Neodiprion lecontei: one gene and its partner. The protein of the gene in region 1 binds, or shares a complex with, the protein of each later gene. Links are inferred from orthologs where the notes say so. Each region holds a gene or a part of one and is shown on either strand. Other genes may lie near its edges. The genes, in order: dolichol-phosphate mannosyltransferase subunit 1 and dolichol-phosphate mannosyltransferase subunit 3.

Region 1 (4,128 bases):
GATAAATCGGAGTACAAGTACGAAATAAATAATGTATTCAAAATTTATGTACATCGTTATGCGACACGATTCAATAACAATAATATTGTATTTCATTAAATTAATATCAGTATGAGATTTTTTTTAAGTACATGTATTAAGGAACAAGTGTCATGAAAACATAATTTATAAGTGTAATTAATATGTATGCTCTTTGTTTTTACTATATTGTATACTATGTATACGAAGTTTTTGAGAGAGATTATTACTTTCTGAATAAATTGATTAAGTACCAGAGTGTTTCACGTACATTAATAATTCGAATCGACACGCTACCAGATACATTTTCAGCCATGATTTAAAATTAGTCAGAATCAAATGAAAGTATCCTGCAATGGAATGTAAAATTTCAAGTTCACAAACTATTGTTGATAATGTTACTATGTGCAATTCAAAGAATTATTCATACATTACGATTTTGAACAAAATAAAGCGTACCAACTTGAGAGGAAACACAAAGTTAGATGCTTATATTTGCAGTTACATAGCCAGTCATGTGAGATTTATCCTATTCTTTAAATGCTAAGATAATACGATTCGTGTAAATCCGCAAATCTCAATTGTATAGGGATAAAATATTTATCATAAATACATAATAAACATAGTATTCAACATTAGTGATATAATTGCATAGTGTAACTGGGAACAAGTTTCTGGCACAAGTTTGGTAATAATTTGTTACTCACAGTTGGGAAGTAAGAAAGGGCTTGAGAGGCCCTTCTATAAATAAGAGATCCGAAAAAATTTCAGATAAAATTAGAATGAACATAGAATGCAGTCAATGCATAACTGTGGGTTATGAAAAGTGAAACTAATTCAGATTGAAATGGCTCCAAGTAGTTTGAATTAAAAGAAAAAATTCACGGTGCCTCAGCCTTTATAGTTTTTCGACCCATACTGAGCTGGGGAAACGTGCTTTTGTTGGGTGGTGGATTCAATTTTGACGATAAATGAACAAAGGCATCATACAGACTTGGTCTGTCCAATACGTTTACCTCATAATGCCTCAGTTTTTCTCTCGTACACCAGTTGGCTGCTTTGCTAGCAGTGTTTTCCAAATTATTCAACTCAACGTCAGGTTTTGTACGATTTCCAATAACGATAATAGTGATTTCTTTTTTATCTTTGTGTTTGTCTATGTCTTTTTTCAGCGGAAATAAAACGTCTAGAGATTCAGGTTTTGCAGTATCGTATACAAGCACATACCCATCGGCAAAGCCAAGGTAGTGCCGTGCCAACTGTGGGCTACTTGCATTCGTCTGTAGTGGTTCCAATCCAGCTGTATCATAAAATCGTACCTTTTCCTTTGTACCTCGATCTGTCTCTATATTTGCAACGTAAATATCTTCGATAGTAGGATGAATTTCCTGGAATAAAAATTAGTTTTTTTCTCGTTTTGTCTCAACCATTCGCTACAGCCACAGTACTTACATTATTTATAACAAATAAATAAGGATATATACATCTACTTTATGGTAGTCAGATAAGTACTGAATAGCGTTGTATTCTAATTTAGAAAAATCTTTGTTGACAATGTGTACAAACCCTAAAGTAAAAATAGAGGAGATTCTTCAAGCAATAATTATTTCTTTTTATGAACAAGGCGAAGCGCAGTTGGGCTGATAAATTTGAACGGTCTAACAGAAAAAGAATATTGTTATCCATATGATGATCTTACGGAGTTTGTGGTTACGTTTCCATAGATGAGTTGTTCCAAGAGAGCAGTCTTCCCTACTCCCTTCATTCCGCACACCACCACTCGAGTAGTTTTTCCCATTTTCGATAGCGGACCCGATCGGTTTACCTAGATTGGGTAAAACAAATGTTCACATCTTCAGTATAAATCCAGTAAAATTGTGCAATTCGACGAATACATACCGAATATCGGTTGTTAACTAATCAACAGCAACATCACACTTCTAGCCGTCAGACTACGTAGCCTGTTGCCGTCTATTTAACTGTGCAAAATGGTTTGTTCTGTCACGCAAATTTGCATACGATTCATGTTTTTCTGTCCTCCGTTCCTGTTAACCTCTTTTCTCTCGGAACGAATCAACATTATGGTTAACATCGACCACTTTGTAGTTTACAACTAACGACATCGACGAGGTTTCTCGGGTAACGTCTTCATCGAAACGCGGCTTGAATGTTCTTACACTTAGCTGTCCGCCGGGTGCTGCCACGTTCAAAGTTCACATTGAACTATGAAGTAGCAATGCCACGGTGATCATTTGACAGTAAACAGCTGACAAAATGAGTGGGGAAGGTTCGACGAATGAGGAACTCAAAAAGCTCACAAAAAATGACAAATATTCTATTCTTTTACCAACTTACAACGAGAGAGACAATTTGCCCATTATCATTTGGCTGATTGTTAAGTACATGGAGAAAAGGTGAGCAATTTTCAACCTAACCTCTAAACTACTACACTGTACTCGTTCACTGGTGCACACATTCATTTGAAGTTACCCAAGTTTAATGTGAATAAATTGCTGTGGTCACGGATTTCACCACGTGCATTTTGTTATTACTTAATTCAAATGGGATTTCACATTATTACTTCTAGCCAATGTGCTTACGAAGTGATCGTTATCGACGATGGTTCACCTGACGGGACATTGGAGGTAGCCAAAGAACTTCAGAAGATTTATGGCGAGGATAAAATTCTTTTGAGGCCTCGGGAAAAGAAGCTTGGTTTAGGAACTGCTTATATACATGGAATCAAACATGCCAGTGGAAATTTCATCGTCATAATGGATGCTGATCTCTCTCATCATGTAATTCTACAATGCACTTTCAGCATGGTTTTCAAATTTTTTGTTTATTCATGCCAGAAAGTAAATTGAGATTCCGTTTGATTTCAGCCAAAATTCATCCCCAAAATGATAGAGCTTCAGAGATATTTAGACTTGGATATTGTCAGCGGTACCAGATACATTGGAGATGGTGGTGTTTATGGATGGGATTTTAGAAGAAAATTAATCAGCAGGGGCGCTAACTTTATTACACAATTATTACTCAGACCTGGCGCAAGTGATTTAACTGGAAGCTTTAGGTATCAACATTTTCATTCATTTGTTCAATTCATTCTAAGTTTTCATTGATTGATACCATATTTAGTTTGGTTGAGTAATTAAATTTTAGACAAAGTCGATTCTGAAATTATCACAACAAATTTGTGTATGTGATTATTTTTCAGGCTGTATAAAAAAGACGTCTTGGAGAAGCTGATTAAATCCTGCGTATCCAAGGGTTACGTTTTTCAAATGGAAATGATCATCAGAGCAAGGCAATTTAATTACCAAATAGGAGAAGTTCCTATTTCATTCGTGGACAGAGTTTACGGAGAATCGAAATTAGGTGGTTCTGAGATATTCCAATTTGTAAAATCAATGTTGTATCTTTTTGCCACTACGTAAGATTATCATTTATAACAAACTTCCTGAATGCAACGTAATAACTGATGTCTGCATTACAGCACACGTTACTACCTGATAATTTTAATAAATAATTATCACCAACATGTGTAGTATTATTTGTCAGAAATTTCACTTAGATCCATTGTACCGATATTGAATGAAGAGGGTTATAAGTTGTGACGTGGTATTTCGTACCCCGTCACTTTGTTTAACTATCGCACTTCCCTAGGTACAAATATCGCTAAAAATAACGAAAGCACGTCTGAGGCCAATACTCCGAAAACGAACGACTAATTATCTTTAAGTTAAACTCTCTTTATTAAGCTAATTTTATTCTATTTTCTAATTTTGTAACGCTCTACAAGAACCATCTACGAGACCTCCGCTTCAAGATACCAGGACACTGCCTGCCAGGGGTCACGTACCAGCTCAACACCGACCACCACCGACTACAGACGAACGAATACCGCTGAAACCACTCCCGATGGATGCCTATCTAAGTTGTGAACAGGGTTGTGCGTGATGCACAAACAGCACCTCCAACTATTTGAGACTTATCGGCCAGGGGCCGAACCACGAATGAATGCTTCTACCGCTCGGATGCATCGTCAGGCAGCGTACAGGGCTGTGCGTCAAAAACACAACAAAGCCTCCCGTCGACGATACTTAT
Region 2 (4,280 bases), on another chromosome or scaffold:
TTTGTAATGCTGTCCAGAAATGTGTCTGACCTCGGAAGAAGCTTGCGATCTATGACCTAGAAGACTTTTGATTGGTACTTCGGTGCCGATTCCATATTGCATCAGTTTCATCGAAAAATATTCGACTGCTTCCTGGGCGTAGTCCCTCTTCCCACCAAGATTTGATCCACTATCCTCAGCCACGACAGGTTGGAAGGTATTTACAAAAACATAGTCACCGTCGATTGAAAACAAGGCTGGATATTTGGCGAGGAATTTTTTCAGTCCACTCTGAGAGCCGCCAGCAATTTGTCGCATCTCTTTAGTAAAGCCCTTCGCTCCAAACTGGCAGCTTAAGTCATGCAGAGTTCTCGGGCCTCCCTTGTCCATCAGTCGTTCGAAAAAAAATAGCAAAGTCATATTGCGGACCAACTCATACTCAGAGCTATCCATTTTCTTTACGTGCTATTTTTATTACAATGAGTGTACTGCAGCTGCTACGGGATTGATATGGTGCGCTTTGTGGTACAAATCCAATCTTGATCTGGTGTAGCTTGAGTTCACTTTAATTGTGCATAAAAAAATATTTTTACTTAATTATTGATGCGAAAGTATTTCATCTTATTTTGTAATTAATCCCTGAATGTATTCTGAACTTTTGATTTCATTGCTTCCATATATATTTAGTAGAAAAAACTTTTGCTATGTGAGATTGAGAGCAGAGTTTCCATCAAGTCTAAAATAACCTGTTTGGCATACAAAATGTTTATATGGGTGTATATAAATACCGTTCCCATAATAACAAAGCAAATAGGTTTTCATGGCAGATAATATTTTAGCCTTGCTGTCTAGATAGTTTCTACAACTGAATAAATACAATTCGTAAGAAATAGAACTATCCAGATAGCAATTTTAAAATGCCACAGATTTTAATATTTACACGAAATTCCGGAAAAAATTTGAGGTTAGAATATTAACACATTTAATATGCACATCAATTGGGGGGTTAGTATTTCGTCAAAAAAACTAATAAAATCACGTAAATACGTATTCATCACGGATATTAAAAACTGTCACGATAAAATTTCCCCCGAACAGGTACAATTTGTTACCTCGGATAGTGCTCAGCTGCAACGAAGACCGAGCTTGGCCTCAATTATCTTTGATTCCGAAAAAAAATAGGCTGGTCGAGGGAAAAATTTAGAAAAAAACCGATCCCACTATAACAGAAGCACCTGAAATATATTTAACCACGATATCAGCCTTCGCCCGCGGCCACACGGTACACACACAACTTATAAAATACTATGACATTTTCGCATGAACTTCCACAATCGCCATATTGGCCCGAAGAGCCACAAGAATGTCTGCCTGGCGATGCAAGTGGCGAGTGAACGAATTGGCTTGGGGAGGGGGGGGGAAGCATATGTCAAGTGAATACCACAAAAGTCAAGCGTGCGTCTCGTCCGAAATGTCGTGGGTGTCAGGCCTAATAGTGGATATTATACGATATTATCCTACTGAATGTATTTTTTCCACGCCTCATTGTCGATATCGTTCAATCTCACGAATTTGAAGTTTCATTTCCGTTGCGTTGGCATGGAATTTATTTCTGAATGGGTCACATATATGAAAAAATTGCACTGGGTACAACCGCGGTATACCTATCTTCGCTCTGTTTACCTTACTGACTTGAAATTCTTATATCATTACGCAACGCCTAATTATTCTACCTCATAAAAGAGTCCACCTTATGTATACATATGCGCAGTATAGCACAAGCGGTACGCAATTCGCATATTTATTATGTACAGCGCTTGTAGCTTTCAAAAAAATTTTCAAATAATAGACGCTTGAGCTTGAATTATCATCTGATGTGCATAATATCATTTCTCACATCTTCAACTTCAACTTCACAACGATTATGGGATACAATATGTATAATAGCAATCATACGCAATGTTCCGAACAGTTCTGCAGGTTGCCATTCGTAAAATAAACAAGACACGTATATTGTCTGAATAATAAATTTACTGCTGGCGTTCTGCTGGGTAAAGTGCACTTTAACGTTTGTGAACTATGTTATTTTACTGAAATGAAGAAAAAGACGTTAGTCAAAACTATTGATGACGTTGATATACGGCGCGTATTTTTTAAACGCGACAATGATCGAGTAACAGGAGATTAAAAATAATTTAAAGGTCTGTGGCCTTATTTGTATCAGCTGACCGGTTGTGGATGACAGCTGGCACCCAGCTATGTCTACTTCCTGTTTCCAACAAGATAACTTATTCGTTTCGCCGCGTGCGGACGTGGATTTAAACAGAAAGAAGTTTAAATATTAAACGTCAATATTGCAACTAGTAATTGGTGTTAAAATTCCCCCGAGAATTCACCCGAAACAAATGTAAGCATTGTGTATTCTACAATTTCTCTTTTCGATCATCACCCTCAAAAGTTAACCTAAAAATGCACCATTTAAATACTTCAAAGTACCTTAAAGTTTTTTAAAGGAGCTTGACGATATTTTGCCACTTGTCGGCCACCGTATATCAAATATGCAAAAACGATTCTATTGTTTATTTTTGCAGAATCTCAGAAGGTTAATTCAATTGATAACGAACCATATTAATCGATCCTCAAATTTTCAAACCATAATGGCCTGGTTATGACTATATTATTTAAAAAAAACACATCTTGTCTGTAGCACTTTCGGTATTTACATCTAATTCCTCAATTACCTTGAAACGTGACACTTCACTCTCCTCACTGACCGCTTCGAGACATTCCTCTTTCTTCTTGTTTCAAGTTAATTATGGAATCAGATGTAAATTCGGAACGTAGCTCTGGTTGTACCTTAAAGTCACGTAACTCTAATTGTTGAGTGTCTTACTAACATTTTGTTCTTATCTGTTCTCTTTCAAGATGACAAAGCTTATGGAATGGGTTTTTGTGGCCACAGTATTTTTCAGTATATGGACAGCTGCAATCACTGGTAGTGCCCAATCGACACTCCTAATTAAATGGCGAACACCAATATTATACCTTCCCCTAACATTAATTATACTCTTTGGCTTATATGCTGTTAGTGTAGTTCTTTACCGAACTTTCACTTTCAACAATTGTGAAGAAGCTGCTGTAGAACTCCAAAGGGTAAGCAATCAACATGGGATTGCACATGGAATGCTGATTAACAAAAAAAAATTAGTTCTACAGAACCTTAGATCGATACACTTTACACATTGTTTAGTACCTATTTGTCTATTTCAGGAAATCAAAGAAGCCAGAGCCGATCTTCGTAGCAAAGGCCTTGCACTTAAAGAAGATTAAAGCTCAAATCTAAGTATCGATATCTCATCAGTTGCATTTGATGCCTCTCATCGTCCAGCAATAAATTCATTCGTTTTTTGCATCTCGTGAGACAATAAAATCTGTAATTTCATAATCAAATGGTTCAGCGGTTATTTTCTGAAATATGAAGTACACAATTTTAGTCACGACATGTTCTGAGTATCAATGTAAACAATACCAATATTTGTATCCAATTTTCGAGTGCATCACAGCCAAACCGTTTAAACGAATAGATTTAAATAAACACTCAATGTCAATGTAAATCACTACATTCACCTTTCTTTTATGTATAAGCTTTCATAATATTTTAATTCTAAGACACTGATTGTGAGCTAAAATGTGATCTTAGATTTATTAGACGAAAAAAATATGTATATATACATATATTATACAATAATGTATCAACAAATTGGAAAAATTCCAGGTGAAAATAAAACTTTGGTCAACATATTGAAAATGTATTTTGTAAATTCAATCTGTATAGTTTTTGTTTTTGGTACTCATGAGGTTTTATCTTCATAAGTTGCACCAAATAACGGATGTCTCATCTTCAAATTTTTCGGAAACGGAACAGTTGTCTTTGGAGAAGGCAGTTCCGAAGGAACTAATTTTGAATCAGACACAACTGAGATCTTCTGACAAAACTTCATACGGCCTTTAGATCGGATATTAACTGCAAAAAAAATAACATACAATATCAAGTAGTAGTGTAAATGAAATGCAATTGTAGTATAATAGTTGACGTACGTATTTTATAGTCGTTTTTTCGCTTGCTTGTAGTTAACACACAGGACAGATTGCAAACCCCCTTACTGGGTTTGCTTGAAACTTTGTAGCAGTCATCTCCAAATCTCAATACACTCATCCCTCCAAGTATGATCGTCTGATTCTCAAGATCTTTTGGATTGATCTAATGTAAATGATGTTAGAATATAAGCTACTATTACCAA

The links.
Region 2: dolichol-phosphate mannosyltransferase subunit 1 (region 1) and dolichol-phosphate mannosyltransferase subunit 3 share a complex: the UniProt entries of both Homo sapiens proteins name them as parts of the dolichol-phosphate mannose (DPM) synthase complex. The link is inferred for Neodiprion lecontei from reciprocal best matches to the Homo sapiens genes DPM1 and DPM3.

What each region holds. Positions count from the first base shown.
Region 1 is NC_060262.1:37,601,826-37,605,953, reverse strand, and holds dolichol-phosphate mannosyltransferase subunit 1, read left to right. Parts: upstream 1-2,219; 5' UTR 2,220-2,292; coding exon 2,293-2,432; intron 2,433-2,605; coding exon 2,606-2,816; intron 2,817-2,903; coding exon 2,904-3,094; intron 3,095-3,238; coding exon 3,239-3,458; 3' UTR 3,459-3,560; downstream 3,561-4,128. Other genes in the region: NF-kappa-B inhibitor-interacting Ras-like protein, read right to left, coding at 900-1,406, 1,718-1,816. UniProt on the Homo sapiens protein: Transfers mannose from GDP-mannose to dolichol monophosphate to form dolichol phosphate mannose (Dol-P-Man) which is the mannosyl donor in pathways leading to N-glycosylation, glycosyl phosphatidylinositol membrane anchoring, and O-mannosylation of proteins; catalytic subunit of the dolichol-phosphate mannose (DPM) synthase complex.
Region 2 is NC_060260.1:27,862,266-27,866,545, forward strand, and holds dolichol-phosphate mannosyltransferase subunit 3, read left to right. Parts: upstream 1-1,962; 5' UTR 1,963-2,386; intron 2,387-2,904; coding exon 2,905-3,132; intron 3,133-3,249; coding exon 3,250-3,309; 3' UTR 3,310-3,667; downstream 3,668-4,280. Other genes in the region: egalitarian protein homolog, read right to left, coding at 1-432; uncharacterized protein LOC107223439, read right to left, coding at 3,831-4,003, 4,078-4,240. UniProt on the Homo sapiens protein: Stabilizer subunit of the dolichol-phosphate mannose (DPM) synthase complex; tethers catalytic subunit DPM1 to the endoplasmic reticulum.